Drosophila melanogaster: one gene and its partners. The protein of the gene in region 1 interacts with the protein of each later gene in a pairwise test. Each region holds a gene or a part of one and is shown in the gene's direction. Other genes may lie near its edges.

Region 1 (6,204 bases):
CTTTAACTCCGGGCACAGCTTCAGGGCCTGGCCCACAAACATGCCATTGCGGATACCCTTTTCCCGCGCCTCGTAGCTGCAGGAGGCGATCTCCGAGAGCGACATTTTCTTGTCGAAGCCCGAGCGCACCTTTTCCGCCTTGTCTCCATCGTGGAAATGGTGCTCGAAGCGCTGGGCAAAGAGTTCCAGCTCTGCCTTTCGGTCCGCCTGCGGATGCACCGGTACATCGGTGGCTGCGTTACCTCCCTTCGAGTGGGTCACCGCAATCGGCAGCCCACGAAGCTCAGGACGGGTTCTTAGGCCCACGGACACAAAGAAGCAGTCCATGTCAATGTGCATCACATAGCGTTCCAAACAATTGTGGTGTGAATTAGCAAGGGACTTCAGTGTCTCTCTTTTGGGAAAGCCCTGGGTACCATGCTTCTGACGCAACCGGCAGACATACTGCTTGAAACCCGCGCCTAGAGTGGCGATGTGATGCAGTCGTGAGTTCTTATAGAATTCACTTAAGAAATTTGGATCCGCGGCTGTGCGAGCGGTGGTGGAGTTATTCGAGGTGGTGGATAAGTTTGTGATCTTGCTCTCTGATGCACTGGCCTCCTTTTCCGGCGAAGTGGCCACAGCCTGCTGCAAATTCTTGAGAATGCCACCCAACTCCATTTGCGTTTCATCTTTTGTAGAGTCTACTTCCACTTCCGCTTTATCTTTCGGCGGCTCCACATCCGATTTGCTCTCATTTGCGCCGTTGTCTTTGGGTTTCCCAAAGATGAGCATGGGCTGCGATGTCTTCTGGTTCGTGTACAGCAGATAGGGTTTGTAGTCTACTATCTTCTTTTTCTCCAGACAATCCACCACCCACTTGGCGCTGATGAACTTGCTGAGATTCATGTTCCTGACCTTCACATCGGGCAGAACGGAGGCTATTATGTACGTCGTGTGGCTCCTTTCGTAGTGGTGAAAGGTCCCGCCGTGCACCATCATAATACGCTTCAGTTCATCCGCCGAAGGGTCAGTCCGGCCGTTCACAAATATAGAAATTCCTTGGAAGAGGTCCGACTTGCGAAATGGATCGCTGGCGGCAGCGAACTGCTCCTCAAGTTTAGATTTCTTGGCTTCGAAGTAGCCGCCCTGAAAAGAGCAGGTTTGGTTTATGTACAATGTTTTTAGCATTTTATCTACATCTTACCCATTCACTAAAACCATTATCCTCATCGCGGGTCATTTTTAATCGTTTAAAAGCATGAAAAAGCCAAAATTGAATTCCACCAATACCGCTCAGCTGACACACCTATGTTCATTATTTTTGCGCGCATGTGGCAACTCTCTTTTCGCATGGACGCATTCCTAACGAGTTTTGCAGGGGGCTATTATTACCATTTTGGATTTGACTAAGAATTTAAATTTTAGTAATCACCAAATAAAAACTTAGTAAAAACACTCAAATTTATCTAGTGAAGATAATCTAGATCTAGATCTAGATCTATCATTTAGGATTGGTAATTTAAAACCCGCGACTTCACAGCTGTTTGCGAGCATACAGTTTCAGCGTTATCTAACACTATCCGTTTTGTTTTATGTTATCGACAACAGTGTCATTTGCCAAAGTTTATCGTTCTGCGTGATATTTTGTTTATTTTATAAGAACGTTGCAAAATGTGGAAATACGGTCAAAACCAGGGTAATCAGGGACCATCGAGCGGCGGCGGAGGAGGCGGGGGCCCCAACATGATGCCGATGGGTGGATTTGGCATGCAGCACGGCAATATGCAGCAAATGCACATGTCGCCTCAACATCAACAGCAGCAACAACAAATGGGCATGATGGGCGGCCCGGGTAGCATGCAGATGAATCCCCAAGGACCTGGAGGTCCTGGCGGCCTGATGCCCGGCATGTCTCCGCAGCACCAGATGCAGCAACAGCAGCAGCAGCAGATGATGCAGCAGCAAATGATGGTGCCCCAACAAGGAGTGGGCGTCGGAGTGGGAATGGGCGGTGGTGTGGGAATGGGCGGAGGGGGAGTGGTTCCACAGCAGCAGCAACAGCAGCCCCAACAAAACATGCCCCAGCAGAACATTCCCCAACAGCAACAGCAACTCAATCCGGTCGCAGGAATTCCACCCGGTGGAGCCGGGGGCAGCAACAATATGCTGGCTATCTCGCAGCAAAATCCTCACAAGGAGATTAACATTGTGCAGCTGTCCCGTCTCGGTCAGGAAACGGTGCAGGATATCGCCTCGCGCTTCCAGGAGGTCTTCGCCTCCCTCAAGGGCATCCAGCCCACCTCGCACAGGGAAAACAGCTCCGAGAAGAAGGTGCAGGAGTACTTCCGCACCATCCGGCTGCTCTTCAAGAGGGTGCGCATCATCTACGAGAAGTGCAACGACGCCGGAATGGATTACATGAGCGCCGAGAGTCTGATTCCCTACCGCGATGAGCCGGAACCGAGAATCGAGCCCTCGCTGTGCGATGAGTACCGGAAAGTCCTGCAGGAGAACCATGAACTCATAGAGACCGTCAAGCTGAAGAACAGGCAGCTACGCGAGATCATCGATCGGACACGCATCATCATCTGGGAGATCAACACCATGCTGGCCATGCGGCGCTCATAGGCATAGGGACTCTAGATGTATAATATAGTATAAATAAAACTAAGAAACATTGCCAAACAGCAATCGTAAAGACCTTCATGTTTTTATTTTATATGAAAAGTATATATTTAAAGTCAGCGGCAGTCGCTGGCAACAATCGCATTATTGCTGCAACCTATCGATTTTTCGCCATCGATAAATGATTGCGAGGAAGAAGCAGAGTTTGTTGTGGGCGACAATCTTAAGACGAATTTACCAGCGGAATCTTAGCTAATCTAGCAAATTAAAGTTAGTCAAAGCATCGGTAGACATGGCGAAAATGGCATTCCAGCACCAGGCCGGCACGGCGATGGAGTGCTTGAGCGTAAGTTGCGAACGAACTAAACCTGGCTCACACGCACAGTCGCCTGTGTGTGTATAGGTGAAATTGGGTCGCTGGAGCAAAAAAGACAAGCCACTTTCAAATTCGAGTGATTGATGAAATGTGACTCACAATTCCCAGATTCCCATCACGCTGCACAAGGAGAAGGACTACGACCAGGAGGGGCGCGAGATCCTCAAGTGCGGCTTCAAGATCGGCGGCGGAATCGACCAGGACTACAAGAAAAGCCCTCAGGGATACACGGATTATGTGAGAAACTTGGGAAACACTAGAACCTAATTCCGGGCATAAAAGAGAGCTTCAATCTTAAAGCTAATAATTATAGCTCTCCTTGAAAGTCGGGGAATTTAGTTTTAGTTCGGTATCTTAAGAGCAGTTTCAATGTTACAATGTTACGTTTTCCCCTTTGAAAATAGGGCATCTATGTGACCGAGGTGCACGAGGGCAGTCCCGCCGCCCGAGCAGGTCTGCGGATCCACGACAAGATCCTGCAGTGCAACGGCTACGACTTCACCATGGTCACCCACAAAAAGGCCGTGAGCTACATCCGGAAAAACCCGATACTCAACATGCTGGTGGCCCGCAAGGGCGTGACCTCCACATAAGTGGTGCTCGGAGCAGGGTCTCCACAGACTACAGCAGTATTTAAGCGGCATTTAAACTATCCCCTCCACCGCCCCTCTGGGCTACGGATCTCTTTGCCTCCTGCAACCTATGCGAATACTTAGAACTACCATATTATACATATTAATTCATTACGTATGCATATCGCACACACATGTAGCCAGACGTAAATGTAGCACCTAGTAATGCTTCTTGTTGAATTCGATTTCTTTGCCTCTCCATCACTTGTTGAACGAATCGCCAAGCTCCTAAGTGTAAAACAGATTGCCAAATACCGATACAAACAAACACTCCCAGAAACAACAGGCTCGAATATAAACAATTTTGTACTTTTATACGTGCAGACCATTCCAAAACCAAACAGAAGCAGCAGCCGAACGCAGAGTTGTTGAAAGAAACATACATTCATAGTACATACTTGTGATAAATGACTTTAACTGTGCAGATATGTGCGAAGAAGGCGCATCACTTAAGTTTAAAATTGAGTTTTTAATGTTATATTGCATTTGAATAAATGTTTGCTAAATAAATGTGCGAGTTAGACGTCTTCTTGTAACTTTGGTCAGCTTAATGTGATTATGCCATTTTTGATTAAGATCTGACAAATGGTTGATGCAGTTGTGTGTTTATTTTACCTAATGCCAAGTGTAATCTCCCAGTGCCACCTTGTCGGTGACCTTAATTACGTGATTGCGCCAATTGGCACGCGTCAATGATGCCAGCGGTCACCAAACGCGTAAATGACGGTCACAAAATTACATGACAACAGCGAAAAGCCTTTTTAATTACAAAGTACTTTGGATTACATACGCACACTTGCACACATCGAAGTGAGCGAATACTACACGAAATTTGGAAAGAAATATACACAACTAGAGGCAAATAGAAATTGCTACCTGAGCCATTATCAGGCGTAGTAACTCAGGAACTTGCGGAGCGGCAGGAACGTGGCGATATACAGCTCTACTTGTTGGCATACCCGTTTGGGTTCTGGCTCTGCCAGCGCCACGTGTCCTCGCACATCTTGTCGATGCCACGCTCGGCCTTCCAGCCCAGCTTCTTATCCGCCAACGTGGCGTCCGCATAGCAAGTGGCCACATCTCCGGACCGTCGGTCCACCAGAGTGTAGTTGACCTTCTTGCCGGAGGCCTTCTCAAACGCCTTCACCATGTCCAGCACCGAGTAGCCCACGCCGGTGCCCAAATTGTAGGCGAAAAAGCCCGTCTCCGCGATGTTGCGCAGCTTGTCCAACGCCTTTACGTGTCCCTCGGCCAGGTCCACGATGTGGATGTAATCGCGCACGCCGGTGCCGTCGTGCGTGGGAAAGTCGCTGCCGTAGACACTCAGGCTGGGACGTCGACCCACGGCCACCTGTGCGATGTAGGGCATCAGGTTGTTGGGCTCGCCGTTCGGATCCTCGCCAATCCGACCACTGATGTGGGCACCCACCGGGTTGAAGTACCGCAGCGAAACCACTGCCCAACGCTGAAAGAGCGAATTCTTTAGTACAGAACTTATGGACATCAAGAAATGACATCCTCCTACCTTGTCAGACTTGCACAGATCCTTGAGAATCTCCTCGGTGAAATATTTAGTCTTGCCGTAGGGCGATGTACAGTTGCCCGTGGGATGCTCCTCGGTCACGGGCAGGAACTTTGGCTCACCGTATACGGTGGCGCTGGAGCTGTACACGAACTTGAAGACATTGTTGTCGGCCATCGCCTCCAGCAGGACATTGGTGCCGGTCATGTTGTTGTGGTAGTACTGCAAAGGTATGCGGCAGGACTCACCCACGGCCTTCAGGGCGGCAAAGTGGGCCACCATGTCGATTTTGTGCTGAAAGGGATGTAAATATATGTACCTATTAGTTTGGGAAATCCAAATCTGTAATAACCAGCTCTTCAGTAAGCACAAGGATATTGCCTCTTATAAACGTAAAGTGCAGAATTTAATAGCAATTAAATGAAAGTATCACATTGATTTCAAGGTGATTTATTGACAAACAATTATGTGTTCTTTAAATAGCTGTTGATAGTGCTGATTAGGTAAAAAATTCCACCACAACAAATACTGCTCAATCTATTCAGTAATCAGTGCGCGTAAGCACAAAGCTGTGTGCATTTATGGTTGAATAAAAATATGAAAAAGTATCAGCTTAAGATATTTCATGGCTATTTGGGCAACAACGTGCATTTTTATAATGTTCATTACATGTAAATAAACGCTTTGTTTTTTATAAACGACGGTGGTTAACAAAAAAAACCCCTTTGATCGAACATCTCAAGAATGCGTGATAACCTGCTCGAATTAGCGAATTCTCTTGGTTATCAATGGATGTAAACACTGCAATCTGGGCTCCCGACCACCCAGATTGTAGTGTACGTGCCCGGGAGCTGTTGTGGATGTGGATGCCAGCGCACCAACTCGAATGCGACCTCGCCAAGTGGGTCTTTCATTCAGGGTCGATCAGCACGGCGGTTCGTCGGAAGTGCCCCGCCACTTGAGCAAACAACAAAACAAGCGCGAACGAGAAAAAAGCTGATAGCGCGCATGCCAGATAAGCTTGATTGAATGGTATCCAGTTGGCACATTTGCCCCAGAACCTCCGA
Region 2 (7,011 bases), about 11 Mb from region 1:
ACGCTCCGTCTTTCCCGCAGTGCTTCCTGTGACAAAATCAGATATTTAATTTATGCTTAATTAATATAGTTTAGATCGCTCACTTTGGGCGGCTATGTAGATGAGATCGCCGAAAATCAAAAAGCATAGACAGAGGAGCACGATCCGATGAAGATTACAGATGCCACGAGGCATTATTGTCGAGCCGAGATTCCGATTCCGATCGCCTGCGGTGAATGTTGTTTTCAAACTGCACTGTCGACATCCGAACAGAACGCCATCCACATCGCTCTAATGTGAGCGTTTTTATTGAATTAAGTGAATTTAGTTGGGGGCTTTCGACGGTGCGACGTCACTTTCCATTTTCGCAACATTGTTGCAAATCCGCTGGACATCGAGATCATTCCGCTCTCGACTTTATCGTTCGCCCTGTTTTGACTAACTCATTCGTCACTTGCGTTTCGTTCGCCCATTTCCAGTGGAATGTTCAATGTGCCCCATGTAACGAGCATATATCTGGTGAAGAAAACCGCCTTCGATGCCATCTCCTTCAAGCACAAGGAATTCGATCCCGACATGGCCATGTGCGAGTCACTCCGAAATGCGGTAAGTGTTTGACAGAACATCGTGTTCAATTGGTTACTAATGTGTCCACTCTTCTGTCCAGGGTATCTTCATGTACGCCAGCAATCTGCGCATATTCGGTCACTTGGTCAACGCCGATGACTTCAACACTACGGTGACACGTCCGGACTTTTATACGTTGTTTAGCAACGAGATCGACTGGACGGAGAAGTACATACATCCGAACTACTCACTGCAGCTGAACGAGAGCAACAAGATACAGCAGCCGTGCCCGGATGTCTATTGGTTCCAGATCGTGTCGGACGCGTTCTGCGACGATTTGGTGGCCATCATGGAGGCGCACAACGGTTGGTCGGACGGCAGCAACAACGACAATCGGCTGGAGGGCGGATATGAGGCGGTGCCCACCAGGGATATCCACATGAAGCAGGTGGGCCTGGAGCGGCTCTATCTTAAATTTCTTCAAATGTTCGTTCGTCCGCTGCAGGAGCGCGCCTTTACGGGTTACTTCCACAATGTGAGTCAAAGAATTATCATTTTGAAGATTTTGTTTTAATATTCTCACTAATTTTGTAGCCTCCACGCGCGCTGATGAACTTCATGGTGCGTTATCGGCCGGATGAACAGCCTTCTCTGCGACCCCACCACGACTCCTCCACGTACACCATCAACATTGCGATGAACCGGGCGGGTATTGACTATCAGGGCGGTGGCTGTCGTTTCATTCGTTACAACTGCTCCGTGACCGATACGAAGAAGGGATGGATGCTGATGCACCCGGGTCGACTGACTCACTACCACGAGGGATTGCTAGTGACCAATGGCACGCGTTACATCATGATTTCCTTCATCGATCCGTAGGGTAGCTAATTTAAGTCGTACTCTTTATATCAAACTGCCATATCGGCCACTCCAAAGAACTGCATACTAAGCCCAATGAACAATTTATGTTGATGGAATTGCGGCATCGGCCTTCTATTTCTGATGATTTTACATACTACTTTGAGATCGATAGCTTTAGGATACTCTGATGAATCTGTTGCAGCCTTAAGTTAATTATAAGCTTTTTTACCAAGTGCAAAGTGTTCAATTTTTGAATAAATTAATTCAATTATTAAATGAAATACATTTGGTTTTGTTTTTGTCTGGAGAAATTCTTATCTTTTATAATTTCAAATCAAATATTTAATTTACGTGGTTCAATTTAATTCGCTTTCGAAAGAATATTGTTCTCTAACGTGAAATGCTGAACCAACACAGCTGTTTTGCGAAAGCGGGATAGCACCTTCAACAGTGCTGCCCCCCACGCAACTAACAGCAGCGGTTGTGCAGACTTCTGCTGTTAGCAAACATTTACAGCAGACACTTGACAGAATGCACACCAAAATTTCTCTAGTGAGTTTTAAAATAAATAAATCTATATGAACTTTAAAGTTTTTTAATCAAAGATAAATATATTTCTAAAAAAAAGCAGGATGTGCATACATAACATTTTATTTTGACTAAATAAAGATTTACACGCTGCCATAATTTAAAATTCAACAAAAAACATATTCTATTTTAATGTATATTTTTTTATATTTTAACATATGAGAGGCTAACAGAGTAGCTTGATTACAGAACCCGTAAGAATGTTAGGAAGTCGAACCACTGCGTACTGTTGTTGCATCGAGCACAAGGCTTCGAACTTGCGCGAGTTCGAACGACTCCAAAAGAAAAGTGTATTTAAGCGCTTGGCGAAGCACGCTCTATGTTATTGCTCGATTTTCGTCCGCGTAGCTGGTTGGTTCGTCACAATTTTTTATAAATTAGGAAGAACTAAATAAACTAAGCGGACATTGGCTTAAAGGCCAGCAAACAATATACGGAAATAAACAAGTTTGTTGGGTAAATGCAACTGAAATTGACGAATACTTTCGAGAAATTTAGAAGACTCCAGTGTTTGCAGACTTCGTGTGCGGGTGGTGTGCGGTACATTTACAGTTAGTTGCGCAAAGTGCGTGTTTAAAAATAACAAAAATCGACGCTGGATATAAAAACCGAAATAAGTAGGGAGAGCAATAAATGAGTGGCGAAGAGAAATGCAAATTTATCGAGTCGGTCAATTTAAAAAAGCCGCATCCTGGAAAATTGTGTGCGTGCGTTCGTGTGTGTGTGTGTCTGTGAAATAAACAAAAAAGGCGAAAGTTTACTCGCTCTCTCTCTCTTTCTTACTCTCTGTTGCTCGCTGTGGCGCTCTCTCTTTCTGTCGCAGGACTTGCTTCGATTTTTCTTCCGCCTGCTTTTCCTGTTTCATTTCCCTACATTTTTTTATTACTCTATTTACACTTGGCGAGTCCTGCCTTATGTGTGCACACATGTGTATGTGTGTGCTTTCTCACACCTGATGTTTTTGTTGTTCCTGCTTTCAGCCGCTCCTGTTGGCCAAGTTTTTTTTTGTTGTTGCTTTGGCAACCGTTGGAACAACAACAGCAGCAACAACAACATAAACAACAGGGACACATAAGGGTACTTCCATTTCTGAAAACATTTGCTCTTTTGAAACAAAAAATAAAAAGAAAGAAAAACCCAGCCAGACAGTCTGGAAAATCCATAGAAATACAAACACAATTTTAAGTCGGCACTAAAAACCGAAAGTGGCTGTATCCCCGATTTTGATGAGCAGCCAACGGAGATTTCCGGTATCCAGCCAAATGGCGAGGTGGAGTTCCACGTTCCAGGTGAGTGCGATATAGTGCCACATGCCCACCCCACCCCTTTATAATTTCACCGCACACGGTGAGAAATACCATTTTCTCCACTTTGCAAACATAATCGTATCGAACGCAATTACCAAAAATCATTTGACTTGAAACAGGAAACACTAGCTGGAAAAAATTTTATTTATTATCAGCATTTCAAGCATATTCACTTTCATGATTGATTGCACTTAAACCGTTGCCATTGAACGAGGTCAAAAAATAGTATCTTAAAGGAAAGGTAAAATTTAAAGATACGACAATAACATTTTCAGTTCCAATTAAACTGTTTTCAATGATGAAAAAGTAGTTTGAAAGCATACTAATTTTTAAAAACAAAAAGTGCTTGCAACTTTAAGAAAACGTTTCATGATTGATTGCACTTAAATTTTTGCCATTGAACATGGTCAACAAATAGTATCCTAATGGATAGGTAAAATTGAAAGATACGACAAAAACATTTTCAGTTCAATCGAACTGTTTTTAATCATGAAAAAGTTATTTTAAGCGTACTACTTTTTAAAATTAAAAAGTGTTTGCTACTTTAGGAAAACATTCATTGTTATTTATATTTATTAATATTTAATATTAAACAAATATTTTCATAATTTATAACTACTTATAGCAAAGGCAATAAGAAATATGAATATTGGATAATAATATTAAATTACGGTACTATAATATTAACTTAACTTAACTAAAATATTAAGTTACGGTAGTTAATATAATTCTTTACTGCTCTTCAGTAACTTCGAAGCTGGCTTCACTAAATGTGTCTTCTCACACAATATATTAATTATATATTTGCATATTACCTGAAAACCAAGCCGAGTCTTAGCCTTGAGTTGTCAAAACTGCTCACTATCAATATATTATATGCGGTATACATACGTATTTATTTATTTATTTTTTTTCCGTGGAGTTAAGTTCGCATGTGTGTGCCGATTGCTTGATATTTTCTATTAGCGGGTGCTGGATTTTCCTTGCTCGTCGCCGTGAGCAGCTGCTAATGGGTTGTGAAAAAAGTGGGCGAACGAAGCGGGCTGGAAGGCTGTGGAAAAGTTAGGGAGGTGTGTGTGTGTTTGGGGGAGGGGGGGGGGGGGTGTGGCCAAGCATGTGTGAAACTTCCTCACAGTGGAAAAACATATGGTGGCAAGTTCAGTGCTTAAGGTTCGAGAACGCAAGTTTCCACACTTGATTATATGGCCCATAAATTTGTAGTACATTTAAATAAATGCCATATCTTTGCAGCTTACGTGTTTTGGTATATTATTTTATTACTATTAGGTGAACACAATTAAATTTTAGTTACAAAGTTCTGTTGTTAAGATGTATAATGCTTCTTAAAGATAAAAACCAGTTACATATATACCAGATTAAGCTAGAAGTTTTAGGTTAGGCAAATAAAAATCTAAAGTGTAACACAATTTAAAACTATTATTCCAGTGGATAGTTTTGCATATGTTCCTGATTTTTTGTGTGAAGTTCTTTTTTATTTGTTTGTAGATTTTCGAGATGTTTCCTGCAGGCGAATGCCTCGCAAAAATTTACCAACTGGACCACAAGAAACATGTGGTAATGATAAAGAATTCTTAAGCAGCTTTCTATTTTTGGAATAAACATGTTTAGCGTGTTTGTTAGTTGAACTAGTTAAAGTTTAAACATCAGATTTCCATCAGCTTGGTGACCCAGAACAAGAGTCCGTCGCTTGAAATGTCATTGGCTTCCTATGAAGAGGACTTCTTCAAGGGCTTGGAAGCCCTATATCAAGTCTACATCCCGGCAATCATCATAAAAGAAACCAGCTGAGCTGGCCCGGGGCAGGTGGATGGATAATGGTGCACCTCTCTCTGGAAGGCACATATGCAAATGTTGGCCCAGTGCCCCCCACTTGGAGCTTCACCTCCGTTAAACCCCTCCTCCGCTCCACGACCATGTGCGTGCGTGCGAAATCTGCGAGCAGAGGCAAAATGATTAACAAAGGCTCCCCGAGGTGCGGCAATATGTTGGGGCGGCACCAGCAGTGGGTGGCTATTTGTACTAGACGTGCACTGGCAGAAATTACGTGTGAGAAGATCTTGATCTTTTACGGACATAACTTATTGGGCAAAACTAATTCCGGGTTTCAAATTCCCTTTGCTTCTTAAAAACTATGAAAAGGAATGAAATAATTTATATGTACGTAATAAGTAGCTAACTTAGCCTACATTGATAGTTGTTAGTTAAGTTAACTAGCTACCTTTTGGTAGGTTTGTCCGTTAAGTTCGAAATCTCGTGCAATTTCTTTCCGTGACCATGGGCTTTTGCCGGCGTACGCGCATGAGGAATTACATCCATCGTCACTGACACGGACACCGACCGAGACGCGGACATTGGGACAGATCCTGGACAGAGGAGCGCCCCTCAGGACAGGCGCAGTGCGGTTGGAACAACCAGGGCCCAGCCCAGTGCTCAGCCTGCCCGACGTTCCTAGTTTCCCTCCCCTCCACTCATCATCTTTCTCGGACGCCTATGTCCTGGTTAATGACATTTGAGTGAGCGAGAAGAAGGTGGGCGGTAGGAGGGGGCAAAGGACACCCGGCGGCGACGCAGGCCGAGCGAGTAATTTGTGTCACGTTTTAATTTTTGACGCCGCAAAGGACGTTCAAGTGTCTCCCCTCGTGATTATGACAATTAGGATTGCGTTGAAATCCTTCTTGCTTATTTTGCTACGCGTATTTAAAAAGGTTTATTGTGTAAGCCTCGCCTGGGGAGCTTTTGTCCAACTTATGCTTGTGGCCCATTAAAGTAAATTTCGCGGCGAGTTTGCGCTGCTCGGAATTAAAATTAATCACTTTTAAAGCTAAATTTGTAAATACAAATGTGTTGTGAGATTACAAAGCTTAAACTCTAATGTGCTAAAATATAATTAAATGGCAGTAATTTAATTAAATATTCTATGCAGCAACAATTAATAACAATTAACCGAATTTAATGATGACTAGATGGCGTAGATTATGTTATAAAACCCGTGAACGATGGAATGTCTTTAATACGGATTTTTATTGTTTACGTTTTGCCGGTATAACAATTTTAAATTTCATTTATATGAAACAAAATGCTTTGATATAAAATTAATAGTGCACCGTATGCGCGGCTTTTTATCGCTCGCCATTCGAGCGAATAACTTTTTATGCTGTGAACCATTTTTGATAAACATTTTAAAAATATGCCATCGCAGTAATTGGATAGATTTGCATATCAATCAATTTGTGGCTTAATTGCCATTTTATTATTCATTTTCCGCCGCGAACGTCGAGTGGGTTGGCTCAAAGAGCTGCAAATTCGGCTGAAATGCGTCAGTGGAAAGTCCGCACTCATTAGCCGTGATTTTCTTGCTACCCTGCTCTTGACCGAAACGCATTTCACAAGGCAAATCCTTCTCTCAGCGAACTGTCAAATGTCCTGCACACTTCGTTGGCTCCTGACAGGCAGCTCAAAAAGTGGCCAAAGGATGTTCCAACTTTGCTCGCAAAAGTTACCTTTGAAAAGTGGTCTAAGAAGCTTTGTTTCCGTGTTTCAAGCCATTTTCAACATTAAATTTATTAAATATTAAATATGCGAAAAGCTTTTATAGTTTTATATATTTCAATCTAGAAAGAGTCGGGCCAACGCAATTTCAATTAACCTTAAGTGGGATTTCCTAACCAGTTTCCGCATTATTCATCGA
Region 3 (6,981 bases), on another chromosome or scaffold:
GAGGTCATTTCCACCCACTTCAGTTGGCTGGGGATGAGGACCTTTGCCCCGAGGAATAGAGAAGTGATGAGCTCTGGCCCTAGAATCCAACCAGAATCCAGGTAGTTGGGTTTAGGTTTGGGTTTGCTTTGGCCATGAATATGTAAGCTGCAGCTGGTGCTCAAAGGACAGGCAGGTCCTGGTCGCAAAATGTGTAATGACTGTCGGGGAGATGGAGGTCTCGGGTGCGGGTGTGAACTTAAAGCGGATGACCAGCTCGCCGGCAGAGAAATAAAGTTGCCTTTCAAAATAAATTCGTTTTGAGTTTTATGCAAATTGTATACAACCAACAACAGCAACAACAACAACAAACAAAGGCCAGACGAAATGCATGGCATAAACTTTGCCAACTTGGCTGGCTGCAATTGTAGTTTGTGATGTGGATGTGGATCTGGATGTTGCTCTTCCTGGTGGTTGGGGTTGATGTTGGGGCGGCTTTGATGGCATCAAAGTGAGCTTGTCGTTGTGCAGACAAATGTTACGTACTCTCGTCACACTCTTACGTATGCAAATGTCCCTTGCCATTGCCGGCGCAATGCTGCAGTGCGTCCTCCACAATTGACAATTGTTGAAAATGCAAATGGAAATGGAAATGCCAAGACATGTGCCCAACAGCCACACCAGCAATTCATACATATGCCATGGATAATGGATACTGGGCGCACTGGAGGTGTGTTGGGGGTGGCATGCGGCGCATTGAGGTAAAGACAAATGCAAAGGCGTTGTCTCTACTATCATCATCCGGCGACGACATCTCCTCAGATAAGATAAACGATGGCAAAGTCAACAGCAACAACTGGTTGGCTACGAAATGCACTGCAAGAAAATGCAATGAAGTATGCTAAATACACTTGGCATGAATTTAATCTATTGCTATTGTTGAAAAGTGTGAAATGAATATTCTTAACCAGTGTCTTACATAACATTTCTGTATTTTGTTGTATTATAAAACGAAATACAAATAGTTTAATCAAATTTAATTATATAATATTATTTTATTATTACTTTTTGATATGAGTACTTGACATTTTTCTGAGTGCATGTGGGAGAGGTCAGTGTAAATAAGTAAATACGACATTCGTAGCCCAGAGCAGGCCGAAATAAATTCTCAAGTGCAAATGAGGTAAATGACAAGAGGTACGAAACCATCATAACCTCTGACCTGCCACCGATCCCCCCTCCACCAACGAGCGACCCATAAACGCCCACTTTGCCGAGCATTTGACAGTCGAGAGCAAACATGTCCAAGATGAACATCCATTTTGCATTTGGGAAATGAAAAGCGGGAAAGCTACAACTGACGTACATACTAGCATACTAGCAGACAGCTTGTCTATGCAGCAGGCCATCGCCATCCAATCCATCTGGGCGTGCAAATGTATCTGTATCTGCTATCCAGTATCTGGCGCTCGTATCTATTCCGCCTGTCGTCTCGTCCGCCTTTTGCAGCTTCATCAAATATTTAGCGCCAGGCAGGCGGCTTTATCTCGAGGGAACTGGAAGGAGGGACAAATAAGCGCATTCATTGTGTTCGTTCAGTGTAAATACGAAACGGATGTAGCACTGCTTGGAAAATAACAACTTTGTAAACTTAAGAGCCTAACTCGACTAGTTTGGTACTGTAGAAATATGAAAAAAAGGAAAAACTATTGTACACAGCTATTTGTAAATATCCTCGATGGATAAATTTATATAAAAAAGTTAAGACTTAAGACATACTGTGTACCTTTATTCAAACTAAAACATTTATACCATATATAATAGATACCAAGAATATTCCAGAGATTTCTCTTGATATAGAATTTCTGAATTTCTGAATGAATGGCGTTGTTTTATGTGCAGCTTCTTTTTGGTAATTTCATCGATTTACCAATTTATCACTTTCCTGCGGGCAATCACTTGTTTTGTTAGTTTTCCTTGAGTACTTTTGTCCACTGCACTTAATAGCATCGTTTTAAAATGTGAAAAGGGAAAAGTTTGCGAGCTGTCCAATCACTAATGAATTAAACAAACATTGAGGGCATCGACGTTATTTCTCGTTGAAACGCAAATTTAATAAACCACCCACACCTATGAAAAAACCACCGAAACGCAATATACCCCTGCAGCAGATGCTATCTGGAGAGCAGTCCGAACTACCCTAGTCAAAATGGAAAATTGGGAGTGTGGGGCAGTGCCAACGACCAGCCAAAAAGCCGGCAACAACAAACGCCCGCGCTGTACCACGCCGGCAACATGTTGCGTGTTGCTGCCGTGCGAGCAACATTGCAATGTTTGCACTCGCGTGTGTCGGTGTGTGTGCGTGTTGTTTATCTCGCTGCCACTTGAAATGTTGCCAAGAAGCCGGCCAGCAACATTAGCAGCATTTCGAAAACTTGTTTTCAACGTAGTTGGGTTTAGTTTACTTTGAGACGGCGACGCAGGTGGACGTGTCCGAGTGCGAGCGAAAGAGAGCGATAAACGCGAGCGGACCGCGTTATAAAATATTACAAAAACAACAACAACAACAACGCCAACAAGAGCTCAGTTCATTTCAGTGTTTGTCTTTAGTTTTATGGCGCACGCTGCGCGTCAGGTAGTTTTTCAGTTGTATATATGTACGTATGTACATATAATGTTTTTTTGTGATTCGTCTCGCGGCAATGTTTTATGGCTGACAAAACCATCGAGCGTGTAAAGGTTTTGCACTAACCGTACGACGAAAAAGAGGAAAAAAAAAAGAAGTGATGTACATTCTACGAGTAGATGTAAAGTGCTAGTGTTTACCCTTTTTTGCCGGGATTACTCATCATCGCATCGGCGCATCATCGACACCATCATTATCATTCGTTTACTAGCGGGCAACTTTACGAAATCCCAAAAAACCAGTATCGCTGTGCCCAAGTATCTGCAAGATACGTGAGGCAGTCCAGACCACATATTGGAATTTACTTAACACGTATGCAACACGCACCCATACCAGTTAACATCGAGCGGGACCCATTGGATTTTGGAACCGAAAACTACAGGGTAGGTAAAATCGCTTGTAAATCGGGGTTTCTTCTCGAGAAAAACAAGAGACGCGAAGCAAACACTCACACACTTGACCAGCTGCGTTTTTCCACCCTCACCATAAAACCTAATGATTCCGAACTACCTGTTTTTGGATTGACCCTGGTTTTCCCATTAGCCGCCAGAGGAGATTTCACTGCACCAGCGCATACCATATAGTCCATATATCGGAAAGCTGTGCGGCTATTTATAAATCTAGATACCCTGCGTTTTGGGGCCCAGGCTCAAATCCGGTTTTCCATACCCATATATCCCCCAGCCCAGCCCAGCCATCAATTCAATTTCTACTGGCTGAGTGAGTTTTTAACTCACAGAAGAATCTCCATCTCCAGGTCGAGCATCTTCTTCGCTGAAGATTTCTGAAGAGAGCTGGTTTCTTCGGGCCGTTTTCTTTTCCCTCGCTTTGTTTTCTTTCGTTTCGTTTTCGTTTTTTACTATTTGCCCGATCGTCGTGGTGATCATGATGCTGTGGCTTATTGCCGCCAAGATTTTTTCCACTTTTTTTTTTTTATGATTTTGCTTTTTGCCGATTGAAGGTGCATGGCCTTATTTACCCAGTTTCCAAATCGCTCACCGATTTCTGCTTATTCTGTTTTGGGCTTTGTTTTGAGGTATTTGCTGAATCACACGGGGATCATTTGAATCTTTTAGCCAGACAGTCACTGTGTGGAATTGCGATTGGGATTTTATTTGAGAGTCACACCCAGTCCGTGGCGAATGAGCTAGTATCCCGCTCCGGAATTGACTCACGGCCAAACAATGCGACATGCGGCGAAGTGCTGTGGGGCCACGCTGGCTTGGGCAAAAGAGAAAAAATCAAAAATGCAAAACTTGTTGCTAATAAACAACAATTACAGCAAAAGCAAAAACAAGTTCAGCTAACCACAAAAATGCTGGCAGCTAAACTCTAGACTCGTTGCCCAGGAGCTCCGCCGCACTCCACTACACTCCACTCACCAAAACAAGTCGGTGTATGGAGCCATTTTCTGATGTTGCTGGCTCACACTACTGGCCATTCGCCACCAGCAACAACCAACAGCAACACCAACAACCAACAGCAGCAACACCAAGAGCAACAGCAACATCGGCAATTTGTTGTTGCTGCACTGGAAAAAAGGTGCTCAAGGAACGGACATAATGTTAACATTTTAAAAGCCAATTCACTTCTAAATCAGACCACATTATGGTCCTTTTATTGACCATAAAGTGTAGCCAAATGAAGAGAAATGCTGAGCCCCTTCTCTGGAATTTGGCTCAGTGCATGTGTAAATTTTTGTCGCCATGTGAAGACCATAAAAAGCGGCCAAGTGGCCAGCTGCCTCAGCTTTCCTCTGGAAGCCACAGAGCAACCACAGAGAACGTCCATAACTGTGTCAGTGTGCAACTAGAAGAGGTCTAAGCCTATTAAGCACACTGGCTTAAGATCGGCCTATGCCAGGAGGTAATACCCGTAGCTCCAAAGCGATTAAGTGTAATTAATGCCGACAGGTGTCACTGAATTGGCGCAAGCTCAAAGAGATTGAAATGCCCTAATTGGAGGCTCCAATTAGGAGATATTCTCCCCACTTTCGACACTTCAAAGTGCGAGATTTCCACTAGTTGCTCTCTTTATTCACGTGATTAGCATGTGTGCCGTTCCTGATCATCATGTCACTGCCCAGTCTATCCGGTCTATTCCACCTCCTCCTGACTACGGCGGACGCACCTGGTGACCTTGCGCTTGAATTCCGCATAATTCTCCCGGTACTCCTTGGCCGCATCCACATTGGCGGCCGACTCGTCATTGGGATCGGTGAGCATGGAGATAACGGAAAGAAGGATCGTCTCCACGGTGTGGACCGGTAGCCAGCGCTCCTCGGCCTTCTCGTAGCCCCACTTATCGTCACCAGGTTCGTGGAGGATCGAGATGCAAACGTCGCCGGCCTTGTCAATATTGGGATGCCAGATTTCGGTGATGAACTTCATCTTGGGCGGGCGCAGTGGGTACTCTTTGGGGAAGATCAGGTGAGCCTTGAAGAAGCCGCCCTCGTATAGCGTATCTGGGGGACCGATGATCACCACCTCCCATTTGAAGATGTCGGAGTCGCTGACCAGACCGGCGGAGAAGCCCTCGACGGGATGGCGTTGTAATTCGGAGAGCTGGCGATTGAGCAGTAGCGATGCTTGCAGTTCGGACATGTCACTGGACTTGGGGGGGATAAGCACCATCAGTGGGATAAGCCATTTAAGTACAATCACATTTGTACTTACTGGAATTTTGTTCAATTGTTTCGAGTCACTTTCTGGTTTACTTCTACGGAGGCTGAACTACGCTCAATGCGACCTGTCAGCTTGCCGAGAGAAAACTCATGCTGCGACTACTTCGATCTATAATCACGATCATGGTTTATCATGGTATAAAAATGTAAGTTCTTAACTATACATTAACGGGATTCCATCGACATTTCTAAGATAAAAAGCCTAAGAGCCACAAAAGATCAATTCCTTTTGGAATGTCTGGCTGCAATCTCATTGCAATTGTAGCCCTTTGAATGGAGATGGAGTATAGAAACTATCTCCATAGAAATCATCTTGAAAGCGACTTGAAAGTTTCCATTATAAGCTCTTTTGGCTGTCGGTCTGGAATGGGTCCAAGGAAAGTCCGAGTCCCTCCTTTCCTTTCATTTCCCAGCACTTTCCTGCAATTACTTGGCCGTTGCTAATGCTACTGGTGCCACTCATTTTTCCTTTAATGTTTTCTTTGCCCGTGCTGGCTGAATGGAAATTATGATGGCCGCCACATTGTAGCCGCTTGGTTTTGGCCTTTCGTAATTGCGCACAAATGTTGGCCCAGAGCTTTTTTTTTCATTTTTGCTGGCCTGCAACTTCGACCACGACATGTGGCTGCCCCATCGACTGTTTTTTTTTTGTTTCGCCTTTTTGCCAATTGCATACGACTCCGGCATTTGGAAATCCGCAACTTTAGCTGACTATCTGACTAACTGGGCAACTGAAATTATGTTGCCGCAAATGTGTGAATCGTTAATGTCTCGATGCTGCCAGCAGGGGCATTTTGTGCTTGGTCTCTTGCCACTGCCGGTTTTTCAAGTTTTCCATGCAGCGCGAGTTTTCGCACAAAAATTCCTTTCCCATTTTTTCGAAGCATTATTATTATTGTTGTAATAACATTTACTTAGCATCGGTGCAAAACGCAACAATAAAATCATGTGCAGTTCCTCTAGGAAAACGCAGTCGGACTCGAAATTTGCTAAATTATCCAGCACATGCCAAACGTAAAGGGGAGGGGCGGGGGCGGAGGTTTTAAAACATGTTTGGCCAGAATACAGACACATAAGACCGACAGCTGCTGCTCGGCCGGTTCCTCCAGCACTTCCAGCTCTTTTCATATCTCCATATTCATCCGACTCTGCCCATTTAAGTGCCACATGTCGTAGACGGTCTTCTTTGCTTCTTGTAGATCCCGCAGGGAAAGCGATATGACAGCGAGAGCCGGGAAACTCACACGTGCCACAGTGCTCCTCCCAGCGAAACTCGATTTTCCATTCTCTACACTCGAGCGAAAAACGCCCACCACAATTTAGATTAGTTGGCGCTGGGAAATTGAGTGCTAAGCATCTCATCAGATAATCAAATTAAATTAATAGTGGAATAAATATCAATTCAGATTGATAGGTTTATCTGGGTCACATTGTTGCAAAAAAATTATTGTTTAAATTATGACTGATATATTTATCATATTCATCAGAATGGCAAAATTATAATTGATATGCAAATTGATACTTTATTTATTGTCTCTTTAATGAACCATAAATAGGCATTAATACATTTTTCTAAAGAGGTGACAATAAAGTTTTTATGAAGATGAATACGGTCTCAAAAGTGTAAATATAA

The links.
Region 2: the proteins of CG3402 (region 1) and GlcAT-P interact in a two-hybrid assay, tested with the Drosophila melanogaster proteins (one large-scale study listed by BioGRID).
Region 3: the proteins of CG3402 (region 1) and kmr interact in a two-hybrid assay, tested with the Drosophila melanogaster proteins (one large-scale study listed by BioGRID).

Annotation. Positions count from the first base shown.
Region 1 is NT_037436.4:649,460-655,663, reverse strand, and holds CG3402 (uncharacterized protein), read left to right. Parts: upstream 1-2,782; 5' UTR 2,783-2,899; coding exon 2,900-2,953; intron 2,954-3,091; coding exon 3,092-3,220; intron 3,221-3,387; coding exon 3,388-3,576; 3' UTR 3,577-4,122; downstream 4,123-6,204. Other genes in the region: DNA polymerase Rev1, read right to left, coding at 1-1,128, 1,187-1,222; MED30 (mediator complex subunit 30), read left to right, coding at 1,654-2,610; Gale (UDP-galactose 4'-epimerase), read right to left, coding at 4,559-5,080, 5,141-5,431.
Region 2 is NT_037436.4:11,192,840-11,199,850, reverse strand, and holds the start of GlcAT-P (glucuronyltransferase P), read left to right. Parts: upstream 1-2,314; 5' UTR 2,315-2,451; exon of another isoform or gene 2,452-2,612; intron 2,613-2,975; 5' UTR 2,976-3,284; intron 3,285-7,011. Other genes in the region: CG7607 (uncharacterized protein), read right to left, coding at 1-26, 84-174; Plod (procollagen lysyl hydroxylase), read left to right, coding at 459-585, 647-1,081, 1,141-1,425. UniProt on the Drosophila melanogaster protein: Involved in the biosynthesis of L2/HNK-1 carbohydrate epitope on both glycolipids and glycoproteins. Enzyme has a broad specificity.
Region 3 is NT_033777.3:13,712,772-13,719,752, forward strand, and holds the start of kmr (kramer), read left to right. Parts: upstream 1-2,435; 5' UTR 2,436-3,048; intron 3,049-4,682; exon of another isoform or gene 4,683-4,761; coding exon of another isoform or gene 4,762-5,268; exon of another isoform or gene 5,269-5,277; intron 5,278-5,340; exon of another isoform or gene 5,341-5,405; intron 5,406-6,981. Other genes in the region: Ubc87F (ubiquitin conjugating enzyme 87F), read right to left, coding at 4,762-5,268.